Danio rerio: one gene and its partner. The protein of the gene in region 2 purifies or fractionates together with the protein of the main gene of each other region. This does not show direct contact. Links are inferred from orthologs where the notes say so. Each region holds a gene or a part of one and is shown on either strand. Other genes may lie near its edges. The genes, in order: trmt10c and hsd17b10.

The links.
Region 1: the proteins of hsd17b10 (region 2) and trmt10c purify together in Homo sapiens (co-immunoprecipitation; 3 studies listed by BioGRID and IntAct, counting the BioPlex papers as one, with this or other methods). This does not show direct contact. The link is inferred for Danio rerio from reciprocal best matches to the Homo sapiens genes HSD17B10 and TRMT10C.

Annotation. Positions count from the first base shown.
Region 1 is NC_133176.1:786,245-790,765, reverse strand, and holds the start of trmt10c (tRNA methyltransferase 10 homolog C), read left to right. Parts: upstream 1-1,641; 5' UTR 1,642-1,835; intron 1,836-3,244; 5' UTR 3,245-3,247; coding exon 3,248-3,511; intron 3,512-3,648; coding exon 3,649-3,927; intron 3,928-4,521. Other genes in the region: txnl4b (thioredoxin-like protein 4B), read right to left, coding at 1,209-1,340. UniProt on the Homo sapiens protein: Mitochondrial tRNA N(1)-methyltransferase involved in mitochondrial tRNA maturation. Component of mitochondrial ribonuclease P, a complex composed of TRMT10C/MRPP1, HSD17B10/MRPP2 and PRORP/MRPP3, which cleaves tRNA molecules in their 5'-ends.
Region 2 is NC_133198.1:21,273,238-21,277,001, forward strand, and holds the end of hsd17b10 (3-hydroxyacyl-CoA dehydrogenase type-2), read right to left. Parts: intron 3,315-3,764; coding exon 3,186-3,314; intron 1,355-3,185; coding exon 1,246-1,354; intron 1,166-1,245; coding exon 975-1,165; 3' UTR 580-974; downstream 1-579. UniProt on the Homo sapiens protein: Mitochondrial dehydrogenase involved in pathways of fatty acid, branched-chain amino acid and steroid metabolism. Acts as (S)-3-hydroxyacyl-CoA dehydrogenase in mitochondrial fatty acid beta-oxidation, a major degradation pathway of fatty acids.

The DNA of each region.
Region 1 (4,521 bases), on a different chromosome or scaffold from region 2:
ATACTATAACTTTATAATGCATAAATTGCACTTTAATATGAGTTAATTGTGACTTGTAAACTACACAACTAAAGTATACATCTGTCAAATGTGCACTAATGTGAATATAAAATGCTGTACAAATCTAACAAGTATATAATAGATACTTTAATAGCCAACTAAATCGAGGTATTTAAGTGAAATACATGCGTGGATCAAGTCAAACTCAAGTGACTACATGAAATGTTAATCACAAATAGATTCATTATATACACATAGTGATTATAAACATAGAATATATACTAAATGAAAGCAAAGTGTTTAAAATTAATTTAGTTTAAATAACCGCTATTACATGTAACTTATTTATGCAAGTAATAATTGATGAATCTTCATTGAGTTAACAGAAAAACAAGTGTGCATTATATACTGATAACTCAATATTGAGGAGTGCATTATTCTGCTTATTCTCAGCTAAATCCACAGTTCAGATGTTGTGTTTGAGAGTGTATTTGTCAGGTTTTTGCTTCTGTGTGTAGCACTAGTGTCCTCCACATCTCCTCTGAAGGCTTCTGTTGTGATTTCTTGTAGCTGTGAAATAACTCTAATCATTCAGCGGAGTGATATGAAGCTGTAAACCTGTCGGAACTACTTTAGCTGTGCCTTTATCTGACAATAACCAAACACCTGAGAGTGACCATTCAACTGTGCTGTGGTATAAACAGAAATAAACAACATGCTTAATCTGAGCTGTACTTGTGTTTATGAAAGATAGAGACACGAAACAAAGATTTCATTTGACTTTTGATGAGTATTTGGGGGGCAAACCGTGATCATTAAATAACAAGTCTTTTAATAGGTCTGAAAATGACTTTATTCTCTAAATAATATGATTTTTGAACATCAAACTGTTGATACTGGCTGATGATTATAGTTATTAGTTTTTTGTTTAGACCAAACAACTTCTTACAGCCTAAAACATACATATATCTATACAACGTGACTGTTCGAGTACACAAAGACATTATTAGTAAGCTGATAATAATTATTAAGCTTATTATAATGCGTACAGACGTACATATAAAGCGATACAGACCACAGAGAGAGCATATATTATACTCACTAATGTATTAATATAGAGTGATACGGACATCAGAGTAAACATATATATTAATTAACGTTAATTAACCCATTAGTTAATGATTAAAGATGACTAATAACCGACTCACGATCTCGTCGATCTGCAGACACACCGAATCTTCATCTCTGCCGAAGCGCAGCACGAGAACCTTCTCAGCGACACTCTTAATCGCCTCATCAATGTCTTTTTTACTCGACAGTTTAGGGAGGAAAAGGCTCATGACGCTTTAATTAAAATAAAACCCACTTATCAATTGAATTAACATGGAGGAGGGTGTGCGCGAACTCCTGCGGATGTTTACTAATGTGTGGTACAACACTATATTAGAACCGACTAGAAACGCCAACAACTGTTCCAACACAGTTTACGTGTCTTCACTTAAATAGCATATTATTACTAATGCAAAATTTAAAAAACATATAATTTAAAATAAGATTAATATTAGTATTTGCACACAAATGTGTACACAAATCATCTTTTTAATATTGATTTTCGCACGGTCAGATTTCACTGCTGCACACAGACATCCACATGACACCAACAGCGCGTGTGTCCTTTTGAGGGTCCTGTAGTGACTTCTGAGTGGACTTGCTGGCCAGCAGCTGATGTGGAACAGAGATTTACTTTAATTAAAGTGTAAATAATGTTGTAGGGGTTGAAGAGGACGGGGGTGGGCGTCACAGTGCTGATTTAATCTGATTTTCTTTCCCCAACAGTGAGTATTTCTGAATGATACCGCGAACATTTGGTAATAATTCTACTTTAATGCGAGGCACTACAGGTTAGTTATGTTAACCAGTATACTACAATGTCATTTGATATTTCTTATGTTTAAATATACTAATAAGTTATCAGACAATTAATTATACAGTAATTTACCGAACATAAATCAGAAGATTAAATGAAGCAGGTTCAGAATTCTCTTGCATTTGTTGACACGATAAACGTTTTTACAGATGAGGTTTTAGATTCTGTTTTTATCAAATACAAACACTGTTAGAGATGAACAGAATAAACTAAGCATATTGCAATATATATTGATGTACACTAATCGGCCACTTTATTAGGTACACCTCACTAGTACCGTGTCGGACCCGCATTGCCTTCAGATCTGTCTTAATCCTTGGTGTCAGAGATTCAACAAGCTGCTGGAAATATTCCTCAGAGATTTTGCTCCATGACAGCATCACACAGTTGCTGCAGATTTGTCGGCTGCACATCCATGATGCCAATCTCCCGTTCCACCACATCCCAAAGCTGCTCTATTGGATTGAGCTCTGGTGGCTGTGGAGGCCATTTGAGTACAGCGAACTCATCGTCATGTTCACCAGTGTGAGATGATTGAGCTTTATGCTGCGTTATCCTGCTGGAAGTAGCCATCAGAAGATGGAGACACTGTGCTCATAAAGGGATGGACATGGTCAGCAGCAATACTCAGGTAGGCTGTGGCGTTGATGCTCAATTGGTACTAATGGACCCAAAGAAAATCTCCCCCACACCATTACACCACCACCACCAGCCTGAACCGCTGATACAAGGCAGGATGATCCATGCTTTCATGTTCTGATGCCAAATTGTGTTTGTGTTGTGTGTTCAGAGATGCTCTTCTGCAGAGCTCGGTTGTAGCGAGTGCTTATTTGAGTTACTGTTGCCTTTCTATCAGCTGGAACCAGTCTGGCCATTCTCCTCTGACCTCTGACCTCATCATCAAGGCATTTGCGCCCACAGAACTGCCGCTCACTGGATATTTCCTCTTTGTCGGAGCATTCTCTGTAAACCCTAGAGATGGTTGTGCGTGAAAATCCCAGTAGATCAGCAGTTTCTGAAATACTCAGAGCAGCCCGTCTGGCAGCAACAACCATGCCACGTTCAGAGTCTCTTAAATCCCCTTTCTTCCCCATTCTGATGCTCGCTTTGAGCTGAAGCAGATTACAGATTTGCGGTAATGAGCAGTCAGACAGGTGTACCTAATAAAGTGGCCAGTGTGTTTTTGTTTTACACTTTTCACTGCTCTGTTGTCATTTCAGTCACAAGATCTTGAAATGGATCTGATCTGATTAATGGCTGGATTACAGTGGTAGAGTTTTTAAATACCTGATCTCTGTGCTGTTCTCCTCTCCTCAGCTGATGATGTTTCTGCGCTGGTGTTTCCCGCCGGTCAGACGGATGTGTGTGTGTCAGCAGATCTCCGTCAGGTCCTTCAGCAGCAGCCGGACGCTCCTCAAAGATGACCCACAGCATGAGGAGAAGCTGGATCTGGACATCTGGAAGTCTGTGATGAGAGCTCAAGCTCTGCCGGAAGATCCTCCGCATCTCCAGGACTCGACATCGGCTGCGTCTGTGCTGGAGGCGCACCGAGAGCTGGTGGAGACCTGGCATCAAGCTGGAAAGGTGATGCTACACTTATTATAACCCTTAAATCCCCCTCAGATTGACTCCTCTTTGGTGATGTTGGTGCTGTTTTTGCCCCATTGACACACACATGCATGTATGTATGTATTTCTACACGTATACCTCCACGTGTGCAGCTGGTGCCGAAGGTGATCACGGATCAGCAGCTGCAGGAACTCTCCATTCTCACCACTAAATCCTCCAAGAAGAAATACCTCAAATTCCTGGCCATCAAGGAGGCGCAGAAGAACAACGACAAGAGGAAGCAGGAGAAGAAGAGAGCTGAGAGAGAAGCGGGAAAACTCCAGAACAATAATGGAGAGGAGGAGGAGGAGGAGCGAGCCGCAGGCCCCGAGAACACCTTCATGCTGAGGCTCCGCAACAACTCCATCGAGAGCGCACACAACTGGAGGACGGTGAGTGTGTGCTGATGCATATTCTTTATCTGAGTGTGCGTGTATGTGTAGGGTTTGAGTGTGTGTGTTACTTTCTGTGTGTGTGCAGTGTCTTGTGTGTGTGTGTGTGTGTTTGTGTCTGAGTGTAAATGTAGTTCTGAGTGTCTAGTGCAGGGGTGTCAAACTCAATTCCTGGAGGGCCGCAGCCCTGCACAGTTTAGTTCCAACCCTGCTCCAACACACTTACCTGTAGGATTCAAACAAGCCTGAAGAACTCAATTAGTTTGATCAGGTGTGTTTAATTAGGGTTGGAACTAAACGGTGCAGAGCTGCGGCCCTCCAGGAACTGAGTTTGACACCTGTGCTGTAGTGTGTCTGAGTGTATGTTTGTGTCTGTGTGTCAAAATGCGTGTGTGTGTCTGAGTGTGTGTTTGTGTCTGAGTGTAATATTTGAGTGTGTGTGTGTGTGTGTGTGTATTGTTTGAGTGTGTTTGTGTCTACATTTGTGTGTGTGTAGTGTCTGAGTGTGTAGTGTTTGTGTGTGTTTGTGTCTGAGTGTAATGTTTGATAGTGTGTGTGTGTGTGTGTGAGAGAGAGTAGTGTTTGAGTGTGTGT
Region 2 (3,764 bases):
CAATCAGCTGTGTGTGTGTGTGTGTGTGTGTGTGTAAGGAGATTTACCAACATCAATCTGGGTTTACTTTAATTATGCTCAGTCTGTTCCGTAAAGGATTTAGTATGACTTGTGCACAGCTGCCAATACTTTCCAGGGTTTTTTTTTTTTGTATGGTGATCGCAATGTGCATGTAATATATAATAGGCACGTCTTTTTAAAAAATATAATAAAAATAATAAAACCAATGCAAACATTCACAACCATCAAAAACATTTAAGAATGTTATTTAGGGAATTTAAAAATGTATTTTAAACATGTCTAACGAAAAATAGCATTTAAAATATTTAATAATGCTTTGATATTAAAACCTGTTACCCTTTTGGTCATAGAGAGGGACAATATGAAAAGGTCACATGAGACTTCTGTGCTGATTCAATCAAAACAAGCTCAATTCTGCCCTCTATTGGTCGTTATTCAGTCTACTCTAACTTTTTAATTTGAAGTGTCAGTAGTGCATTTATGAAGTATTGGTGAATAAATGTAGACATGATTATCTGAATAATAATATTAACAAAGTCTATATGGTGCAAAACCCAAAACCATTCAGCTTGTTTGTTTATTTTAAGTTGTGCTTTTCTTAGATTCATTCATTACAACCCATATAATGATTTACAGTTTATTTTACAGGAAACGATATGTGGACAGATACATTTAGCTTTTATGGCAAAGTGATGCTTGTAGAAATGCATTTACTATAGTTCAGATCATAGAGTCAATGGCAGAGCAGTGCAGTCACTATACACCACATCAACCAAAGAATACATCCATCTACAAGATTTCCAGTGGTTAAAAAAAAAAAAAAAAACACTCACATATTCAAAGTAGCATTTTCAATCAGATTGAAAGTATCCTGAAAATAATTAATACACATTCTTCAGCCAATGTTCTGTTCTGTTCTGAGTATTTCACCTGGAGTTTCTAAGTTTTTCCCTTCAAGGCTGCATGCGAATGGCTCCATCCAGGCGGATCACCTCACCGTTAATCATAGGGTTTTCTGCTATTGAAGTCACAAGGTGTGCAAACTCAGCTGGATCTCCCAGACGTGACGGGAAGGGCACCTGTCTGGCTAGGAAACTCTGCACTTTCTCTGGTAAACCTGCTAGCAGTGGTGTAGCGAACAGGCCTGTGGGGATAAAACAAGGTCACAAAACACTAAGTTAATGAAGACAAAGTTTGAGCAATCTTCATCTCAGTGTCACTGACCTGGGGCAATAGTGACCACGCGAATGCCCATCGGAGCGAGGTCTCGAGCGATAGGAAGAGTCATTCCTACAATGCCTCCCTTAGAGGCGGAGTATGCAGCTTGACCCACCTTAAAACACACATTACAGAAGCTGTAGTGAAAACTGCTTAATGAAGCTTCTAAGCATTTACAAATGTTTCAGCGGTTTAGAGCACATTCAATTGTAGTTTCAGTAGCGTTTCAATTTGTTTTGAAAATGTTATGATTCTCAACTGGGGCGTCCAGGTAAATACCAAAACATTCACATGATGATTGACTCGGGTCGCCCCCAAGTGGTGAACTAAACAACTTTCAGTGTTTTTTTTTTTTTTTTTAATACAAGAATAAAAACATCACTGCATTAAAGAAAAGATACAACAACAAAGAAATAGGAAAGGAAGAAAAAAAAACTTTATAAAGCCTCAATATTATCATAAGCTTTAAAAAATCGTATTATTTTTATTATTACTAATAAGCTTAAGCGAATCAATATTGTACGAAATTTCAGCAAGGACAGTATTAAATATAGGTATTGTTTTTAGGAACTTATTTTTATGTATAAAACAAAAAAACACAAAAAAAAAATTTACAATAAGATCAAGAGCATCATCATTACCTGAGAAACACAGAAATATATATTTTACAGACAAATTTAAATCATGTTTAAATAAGGACGATGAATAAAAAATAATGCTATTCCAAAGATGTTTAACGTAAGTGCAACTATAGAATAAGTGAATATTGCAGAAAGTACAAAAAATAAAATATATCAAACTAATTCGCAATTTGGTAATAGGCATATGGTGTTAGGCATAAGTGTTTTCCTCTCATTAAAGTAAAGAAAAATTTAAAATAAATCCACATAACTTTGTGACAAACTCTTTATAACACAGATAAAGGATTTGGCTGGCAAATTATACGGAAATTATACAAATTATACAATGTCATAAATTCTTCATATTCCAGAATATTGCCACTATTTTTTTGTGCAAAACAAAAACAATTCCTCTTTCAAACCACATATCAATAAAAAGATATTTCCCACGAATTAAGACATTAGTGTTATTCCAAAAAATGTCTTTGTGTGGTGAAAATTGTGCACGTAATTAATAATTTCCAAGAAAGTAAAGCTTGTTTGTGAAAGTTAGAGAGGGAAACTGGCAATTTAGAAGGGATGAAATTACATTTTAAAAGAAAGTGTAAGCCACCTTAATTTGTCAAATATAATATTGGGAATATAGTAGCAAATTGAGTTATTACTACAGAGACGGGTTCAGTAATTTTTACCTGAACTCGGATCAGTTCTAAGATACATTTGGAATTTAAAAGACTAATAGTGAATAAGACCACAATAGAACAAGCAATATAAGCCCTAAAAATGTTTAAAAATACATATACTTTTTATGATATTTAATGATAAGCTGTTTGTATTTGATAGTTTAAACTTTAAATGAACCATTTACAATGTTTAAATAGGCCCATTTTAAAAGGATGATTTACCCAAAAATCTAATTTACTCTCCCTCATGTAGCCTTTATGGGACTCTTTTCTTTGTTGAACAAAAGAGGAGATAATTTGAATAATGTTTGCTGGTACCCATAGTAGCAAAAGGAAGTACACAAATTACTATGCTAGTCAGTGGGTACCAGCATTTTTCAATATATTATCTTTATAAGTTTTGAGTAAATGGCATTATTGTAATTTTTAGGTTAACTTCTTTAATGCATGTTTGGCTTGAGTTTTTGCTGTATTTGCACAGAATGCTTCAAAATATTTTTAATTGTTATAAAGCTTTGCAAAGCTTAAAGTCTCCCATAGTTGAATATTTGAAGTGCTTATGTTTAAAAGCTCAAGGAGTGCAAATATGCTGATTTGGCAGTCAAGAAAATGACCTGTGAATGTTAGCTTATGTGTGAGTTACCTGGCCATCATAAGCAGCCACACTGGCTGTGTTGACGATGCAGCCTCGGTGTCCATCAGCATCAGGCTCATTCTTTCCCATCTCGCCTACAGCCAGTCTGATTACATTAAATGTCCCAGCGATGTTCACCTTTCATAGTTAAGAATCAAAACAAAATATCATTGTTTATGTTCAGATTTCCTCCTTTACTTCAAGTACTAACACTTTAGGGAAATTCAACCTCACTGTATCAAAAACAAAACAATTACCTTAGGATAGCTAGGGGAACATCGAATTTTCACCCACTGAAAATTATCTACACCATTTAGAGTTCAATGTTCAAAACAGCTCAATATTCAGCTCTGTGGATTTTTCGCTCAGGTACACTTATCAATGCATGAACCACACATGCTCACCAGAAAAACAAAGTCGCTTAAAATATGTTGTGAGTACAGTTTTATTTCGTATACATGTTCATGCTGCTTGCAATAGTGCTATTGTGCTGTCATGGCAACACTGATAAAACGATCTCTTGCAATGTAGATAAAATGTTACTGTCAATTAAATGTGATTTTGTTCTATTGGTGTGTTTTTTAATAA